2 linked regions of the Xenopus tropicalis genome follow. The protein of the gene in region 1 purifies or fractionates together with the protein of each later gene. This does not show direct contact. Links are inferred from orthologs where the notes say so. Each region holds a gene or a part of one and is shown on either strand. Other genes may lie near its edges.

Evidence for each region.
Region 2: the proteins of znf346 (region 1) and krr1 purify together in Homo sapiens (affinity purification with mass spectrometry; 3 studies listed by BioGRID and IntAct, with this or other methods). This does not show direct contact. The link is inferred for Xenopus tropicalis from reciprocal best matches to the Homo sapiens genes ZNF346 and KRR1.

What each region holds. Positions count from the first base shown.
Region 1 is NC_030679.2:46,420,757-46,424,943, forward strand, and holds the start of znf346 (zinc finger protein 346), read right to left. Parts: upstream 2,801-4,187; 5' UTR 2,655-2,800; coding exon 2,597-2,654; intron 1-2,596.
Region 2 is NC_030679.2:61,103,402-61,107,623, reverse strand, and holds the start of krr1 (KRR1 small subunit processome component homolog), read left to right. Parts: upstream 1-1,422; 5' UTR 1,423-1,571; coding exon 1,572-1,641; intron 1,642-1,902; coding exon 1,903-2,078; intron 2,079-2,293; coding exon 2,294-2,428; intron 2,429-3,519; coding exon 3,520-3,645; intron 3,646-3,730; coding exon 3,731-3,814; intron 3,815-3,901; coding exon 3,902-3,958; intron 3,959-4,222. UniProt on the Homo sapiens protein: Part of the small subunit (SSU) processome, first precursor of the small eukaryotic ribosomal subunit.

The DNA.
Region 1 (4,187 bases):
GAAAACTCTCCAGGTTATTCTAAATTAAGGTAATGAAGAGATGACACAAAATTGCTATTGAATCTATCATGTTCCCATTAACTATCTCCACTTTTTTTGGGTTTGGCCGAACCCCTGAACCGAATCCTAATTAGCATATGGGGTAAAAATCCCCCACAACCATTTAACCCTTTCCGGATGCTAATTAGCATATGCTAATTTGGATTTGGTTTGGCCGGGGACTGCAGATTTAGCCAAAACCAAATCCTTCAAAAAAAAAAAAAAACAAAAAACAAAACAAAAAACCCTGGATTCCCTAAATTCCCTACAAGCCACTCTACAGTATAAACAGGTATGGCACCCATTACCCAGAATGCTTGGGACCTAGGGTTTTCCGAATAAGGGGTCTTTCCGTAATTCGGATCTCCTACCTTAAGTCTACTAAAAAAAAATATTTAAACAGTATTTAAACCCAATAGGATGGGTTTGCCTCCAAAAAGGATTAATTATACCTTAGTTGGGATCAAGTACAAGGTACTGTTTTATTATTACAGAAAAAAGGAAATCATTTTTAAAAATTCGAATTATTTGCATAAAATGGAGTCTACGGGAGATAGCCTTTCCGTAATTTGGAACTATCTGGATAATGGGTTTCCGGATAAGGGGTCCGATACCTGTACTACAAAAATGTTAAGCTGGAATTATTCACCAAACACAACCCCACTAGCTCTTTAGTGTGACAGTTTAAATGTAATACCCAATCAGTCTGTCAGCGTGAAAATAATGTCTGTGTCTTCCCTGGGTGATCATCAGGCAACCAATCAGTACCAACAGCCAGCATGTCCAGAGGTCTTCAGGCTTTCTGGGCTCAAGTCTTGCATTTCTGGCCGAAAAGCTGGACAGCAGCACCTCCACCCTCCAGTTCAATTTTACAGGTACAGGTATGGGACCCATTGTCCAAAGTGCTCGAGACCTGGCGTTTTCTGGATAAGAGGTCTTTCTGTAATTTGGATCTCCTATCTCAAGTCTACTAAAACAAAATTATTTAAACAGTATTTACACCCAATAGGATTGTTTTGGCTCTGTTCCCAATGGGTTTCCGGATAAGGGGTCCGATACCTGTACATCAAAGCACAGCATGTTTAACCTTCTACAGTAAGGGCTCTGGCACACAGGGAGATTAGTTGCCGCGTCAAATCTCCCTTGTCACGGGTGACTAATCTCCCCGAACTACCATCCCACCAGCGAAAATGTAAGTCACCGGTGGGATGGCACATGCAGCGCAGGCGATTTCGGCAAATCGCCTGCGTAGGTTCACTGGTGGGATGGTACTTTGGTACCAGTGTGCCAGAGCCCTAAGCCCAGGGTTTTGGAACCCTTACCTCTCCCAATGCCCCGGAGTGTGCACCCCAGTTATTTCACCAGAAAAACATTACACACACACAGCCACTATAAAGCAATGCACCATGAGCGTTTTTACAACATGATTCATCATCCAGCACTTTCATTGTCACATTTACCATGCTATGCCCATAGTGTTTGCAAAGAATTTTTCAACTAACAAAAAAAATAGTAATGTAAAAAAGATAAAAGCAGGGGACAAATAGTATATAAAATCCTGCAGAATGTGTGCAAAAGACAGAACTTTGCCCATTAATTGGCTGACGTGGCGTAATGTGTTTGTGCGCACTGTGAATCATATTATCCCTTAGTAATTAAAATGGCAATTTTCTTTTTAGTATTATCCAATGGCACAAACAACTAAAAACACACATTTTTACAAAAATGGTTTATTTAAATGAAACAGGGTTTTACATATGCATTGTTTTATACAATGTATTTTTATAGAAACCTGCATTGGGTGGGGGGTATAGTTTTCCTTAAATTATCAGCTGTCTTTTGCCTTTTTCCTGCCGTCAGATGGAGGGGGGTCACCGACCATCGCTGCCAAAAAACTGGTGCTCAGTGAAGCTACAATTTTGTTATTGTTTATTACTTGTCTTTCTCTTTAGGCCCCTACTTAATTAATCTTTTAGTGTCTCATTCAAATCACTGCCTGACTGACTGGTAAAATTTACCCAAATACCTGCTGAAATTCCATACTGAAGAGGTGTGGCAGAAATATGGATTAAAGTTGCCCCAACATTTTGGATGGGGAAAAAATAATAATAATCAGAAATAACCTGGGGAATGAGTAAACAGATTGACCCTGCGAGCAGGAAACATGGCAACTTTTTCCAGCAAGACGTAAAGCATATTTCTCCCCAGAAGTATATTAGAGAGCGTTGTGTTCTCAGACAACACTTTTGATAATGGAAAGAGCAACCCTTTGAAAATCAGAGAAGCGATCACCTTGGCTGCGTTCAAGCGATACAACTCATGCACAAAGTTGCGTGTTTTGGTCAATTTAGGGCGAGATTCAAACCATCAGATGTTATAAAGGAAATCTTTGTATCAGAGCAAAAACCCAAGGGCAACCTTTGCTTGTACGTCCCATAACTAAGCAGTCGCCAGGCCCACTGCCCCCAGACGCACACCCACTACACGCGTTCTATTCAGGTTTCCTGCTCCTCACTCAATCCCCTGAGCACAGCAGTAACTTTATATTTGTGCTGACCTGCTTCCTTTCCCACTGGCAACTCCACAGTATCACCGTCACCGAACTCGTCTGCCATATTCTTCCCAAGAAGAAGCCGGCACCGTGAGAAACTCACAAGAGCACACACACCGCGACACAGCGCCTGGCAACTGCGGCCAGAGCGGGTACGTGCAACTCTCGCGAAACGCGGGACTGCATGGGTTCTACGGCGAACTCTCGCGAGATTGCAAGGCGCTCGGTTCCTTATTCAAAACTAACGAAACTTTATTTTGCTTACCCGGAAGGAACAATCCAGGCCGATGAAACTTATTCGCGATTGGTGTATTTCAGGCTGCGGGAGAAGTTAAAATAGGTAACCCAAAGTCGTATTTATCTGTGCCGGGAAGAATGGTTTTGGTACAGAAGTCACAACGCTTTGTCATAATATATAAAACTGCCCTCGATATTAAGTGGAAGAATGGGCACCGAGTGACACAAGCGCTTCTGTAATGAGGCGAACAGAGACGCCACCTTGGCGGGCTCCCACTTCTGCCCAATGCTGACTGTATCTAATGTGGTTTTCGGGTGGCTTTTAGGTCTTCTCAACTGTGGGGGCAATATTCATTATTAATACGTTGCGTTACTGCGGGTGACCGGGTGAGGGCGTCAAATTAGGGCGGCCACTGAATCATTTATGTGTGTTGACATGTCAGAGTGTACCTTGCCAGAAGCCCTCTTACTGTTTATTAACCAGATTTTTGGCTCAGTTTACAATTGTGCTGCACCTCATGCCTATTTTTACCAAAGAAAAGGTAAATGATGGGGGGGGGAGGGGAAGGAGGCTACACAGTGTAGGTCCTGCAGTCGGTTGTGTATCAAGGGGTTACCTGTAAAAAAACAAAACAAAAAAGAAAACGTAGGCATGAACATGTACACATGTGGGTCGAGTCGGGTTGCGGGTCTGGGTCGGGTCCTGGTTTTTAAATATTGCTTCGCTCAGGATTCCAACTTAGGATCTGTGACCTTAAAGGGACTGTAACACCAAAAAATGAAAGTGTATAAAAGTAATTACTATATAATGTAATGCTGCCCTGTACTGGTACAACTGGTGTGTTTTCCTTAGAAAGACTACTATAGTTTATATAATAAAGCTTCTGTGTAGCCATGGGGGCAGCCATTTACAGGAGAAAAGGCACAGGTTACTTAGCAGATAACAGATAAAACCCCATTATATTCTACAAAGCTTATCTGTTATCTGCTATGTGCCTGTTCTCCTTTTTCCCAGCTTCAATGGCTGCCCCCGTGTCGACATAGCAGCTCATTTATATAAACTATAGTAGCGTTTCTGTTGCAAACTTACCAGTTTTACCAGCGCAGGGCAACTGTACATTATATTTTAATTACTTTAAAACACTTTCATTTTTTGGTGTCACTGTTCCTTTAATAGGAAGAAGGGCCAGAAACATCATTAACAGCTGAATCTCGTACCCACTGAGGAAAAATAAAACTATATCAAATATGACAGATTGTTCTTCCTGTGTCTTTGTGGGTTTCCATCTGGTGCAATAGTTTTTTCCACACTCGATTCTTCCCCTCAAAGAAAAAAAATAAAATAGAATGAACTTGGGCT
Region 2 (4,222 bases), about 15 Mb from region 1:
AGCCGCAGACGAAGGAGGAGCTCCTGTGGGGGGTAATGTGTATGGGGGGGCTCTGTGTATGGGGGGATCTGTGTATGGGGGGGCACTGTGTATGGGGGGCTACTGTGTATAGGGGGCACTGTGTATGGGGGGCTACTGTATATAGGGGGTACTGTGTATGGGGGGCTACTGTGTATAGGGGCACTGTGTATGGGGGAGCTACTGTGCATAGGGGCACTGTGTATGGGAGGGCTACTGTGTATAGGGGGTACTGTGTATGGGGGGGCTACTGTGTATAGGGGGTACTGTGTATGGGGGGGCTACTGTGTATAGGGGGTACTGTGTATAGGGGGTACTGTGTATGGGGGGGCTACTGTGTATGGGGGGCTACTGTGTATGGGGGGCTACTGTGTATGGGGCACTGTGTATGGGGGGGCTACTGTGTATAGGGGCACTGTGTATGGGGGGGCTACTGTGTATAGGGGGTACTGTGTATGGGGGCTACTGTGTATAGGGGGTACTGTGTATGGGGGGGCTACTGTGTATAGGGGTACTGTGTATGGGGGGGCTACTGTGTATAGGGGGTACTGTGTATGGGGGGGCTACTGTGTATAGGGGGTACTGTGTATGGGGGGCTACTGTGTATAGGGGGTACTGTGTATGGGGGGTTACTGTGTATAGGGGGTACTGTGTATGGGGGGCTACTGTGTATAGGGGGTACTGTGTATGGGGGGTTACTGTGTATAGGGGGTACTGTGTATGGGGGGGCTACTGTGTATAGGGGGTACTGTGCATGGGGGGGCTACTGTGTATAGGGGGTACTGTGTATGGGGGGGCTACTGTGTATGGGGGGCTACTGTGTATAGGGGGTACTGTGTATGGGGGTTCTGTGTATGGGGGACACTGTGTGTGGCGGGGCTCCTGTGTATGGGGGGTCTCCTGTGTATGCTGGGCAAATCTGGTACATAGTTATAACTCACTTATAACTGACTGCCTTCTCTCTATATTTGTATTTTAATGTAGGAGTTGTTATATTGTTTTCCTTAGGTAGTACAGTATGAGGGTATAGCACATTTGCGTCTGAACCTGCCATTTCATCTATATAAAAGGAGTATTTTTTTAAAAAATTGGGGTGTGGTAATTGGGGCGTGGCCACAAAAGTGGGCGTGGTCAAAAATTGCTTTTTGTCCCTCTTTTCATTTTTCAAATGTTGGGAGGTATGCACTTGTCCTAGAATATATTTCCACCCCTTTTTGAGGGAACTTTATGTAAAAATAACTTTTTTCATGAAGGCAACATGGAAAAGGTCAAGATTGACAAAAAATAAAATAAACACAATGTAATGTGTAATAGTGACTGCCTATGGCATCTTACAGCAGCGCTTCTGGTATTTGCCAGAATCCACAGACTGATATCCGGATCCAATAAATTTCTCTTCGGCTAGGTTGTGGTGCAAGCATAAAAATGCTGTAAAAACGTGGAACATAAGCGTTAGCGGAACCTATTGGAACTAGCTGGACTCCTGCCGGAGAGCATTTTATGTTGCCCACTTCCCGTGTTTATGTCACGTGTTGGAGCCGGCTAACTGCAGCATGGCGGAGACCGAGCAATCTGTGGGACCTAATGCAAAGGGCAAAAACAAGAAACGCCAGACCCAGCCGGGTGAGTGCTGCTTTCAGTTCTTTGGTAACACCGCTATATTTGCTTTAATGTCTGAGATGAGAAAAAACAAAATGGAGCCGTACACATCTGCTGTATGCCTATATATATATATATATATATATATATATATATATATATATATATATGAAGGCAGTCATTTTACAAGGCTAATACAGTTGTTATAAAAACGTAGACGTCAAAGAGCTCAGTTCATGTTGCAGAACGGCATCCTTTTAGCTATGTCTTTATTTTTCTTGCTAGTGGAGGAATCTGAACTTCTTACTGTCCCTGATGGCTGGAAAGAAGATCCTTTTACAAAGGAAGATAACCCAAGAGGATTACTGGAAGAAAGCAGTTTTGCTACATTGTTCCCCAAATATCGAGAGGCTTACTTAAAAGAATGCTGGCCGCTAGTTCAAAAGGCATTAAATGAAAGTGTATGGATTGTTTATTCCTATTAACCATGTATACCACAAAGTATATCTACACTAGCATTTCAAACCTGAAAATGTTTGCTTACTACTATACTTTTACACTGGGAAATAACAGTAAAATTACAACTTAACCCATTAAAGAGGTTTTGTTAACTGCTTTTTATATTTTTTTTATCAGTGTGTTTTTATGTCACTTTAATGCTGATTCTGTGTGGCAGTTTGTTAAAGCAGAGCTGGATTTGATTGAAGGCAGCATGACTGTCACTACAACCAAGAAGACTTTTGATCCATATGTTATCGTTCGAGCCAGAGACTTGATAAAGTTGCTTGCCAGAAGTGTTCCGTTTGAGCAGGTTTGTGTTACATGTAAATATTTTTGTACAATGACCATTGCTGAGTTATTGTCACTGAGACGGTCAAATTTGTTAGAATCTCCCCGGAGAATTTGTTCACTAAACTCATAGTCTGGACGGGTGCTTCATTTCACTGAAAAAACATACTAGCCCAGGGCTCTAATTTATTGAGCATTGCTTGAGTCTAATCCCAGTGATCATTGTGGCTGCTTTGAGCTTTTTACTGCACTTTTGCATGCCCTATACTAGCAACCATAAATGACGATGGTGCTCGGTATTTTAGTATGCTGAACCATTGTGTTTTTAAGTGAAGAGCAGCATCAGCAACTGTATACACTTACATCTCTAAGTTAATCACAAAACAAAAACTGTAGTACCGTGTTAGCCAGTGTCAAAAATAATAATAATAAAAAAACAACAAACACAAATATGAGAGTATTGTAGAATACCTATATTGGCTAACAATAAAAATACATTGCAAGCTTTCGGAGCTCTAAGGCCCCTTCATCATCATCATCATTTTGCCTGATGAAGGGGCCTTAGAGCTCCGAAAGCTTGCAATGTATTTTTATTGTTAGCCAATATAGGTATAATTTCTACAATACTCTTGTATTTGTGTTTTGTTGTTTTTTTATTATTATCTCTAAGTTACTAACCCTTTCCATGTCCTTTAATTGGTATAATGAATGGATGGCAGTGTCAGAGTGCAGAATAAGTGGTCTGAAACATCTTACATATTTTTCTAGACTATTACCACATTCTTGGGGCACACATTAAGACATTTGGGATCATACTATCAAACCTGTCAGTGATTACTTTTTTTTGCCAGTTTCAGGTAGCACAATGAAAACAAAGTTCCTCACAGTGACACATGGGGGCAAGAGGGCACAGACTAGGGGTAGGAAGAGAAGGTACCTGACTGGCGCCCCCTTATCATCATGCCCTAGGCAGGTGCTTCTTCTCCCTACCCCTAGTTCTGACATTCTGACCCTGAGTAATAAGATAATAATAACAATAAAGACAGAATTTCAGATTCAGTGCCCATTTCACATAAAAAGATGTGAATGACAAAGATATTTGTTTCCATCTAGGCAGTAAGAATACTACAGGATGATATGGCTTGTGACATTATTAAAATAGGCTCCTTAGTTCGAAACAGGGAAAGATTTATCAAAAGGAGACAACGGCTTCTGGGACCAAAGGGATCAACTTTAAAGGTACTTAAAGTATGCAGTTCTGGGAACTAAAATATGCTGTGTAATAATAATGGAGATGCTTATTTAAACTACTATTTCCTAACAGGCACTGGAGCTTCTTACAAACTGTTATATTATGGTTCAGGGTAACACAGTGTCTGCGTTGGGGCCATTTAGTGGATTAAAAGAGGTAAGATGAGTAGATTTTGCATTATTGTGGTTAATAAAAGGAAGAAAAGAATTAAATTTTAATAAACAAATCTTTCTTCTTGTGCAGGTTAGAAAAGTAGTTTGGGATACAATGAAGAACATTCATCCAATATATAATATTAAGGTAACTATATAGGGATGTGGTTTGTAGTCAACATTTGTGTTAAGGTTTTCATTTTGTGTATTTGAGTGGAAATTTTTGTTTAATCCTGTCTAATTTATTGTGAGCCAGTCCTCTTGTGTCTGCTAGCCCTGTTTTTTATGGATGCTGATCTGTGTTCTACTCACATAATTGGAGACGATAGTGTAGAAAGATTTAGTTGCCTTTTATGCAAACTAATGCAAACAAATTATTGGATAAAATGTCAATAATAGATACCTGTATGTA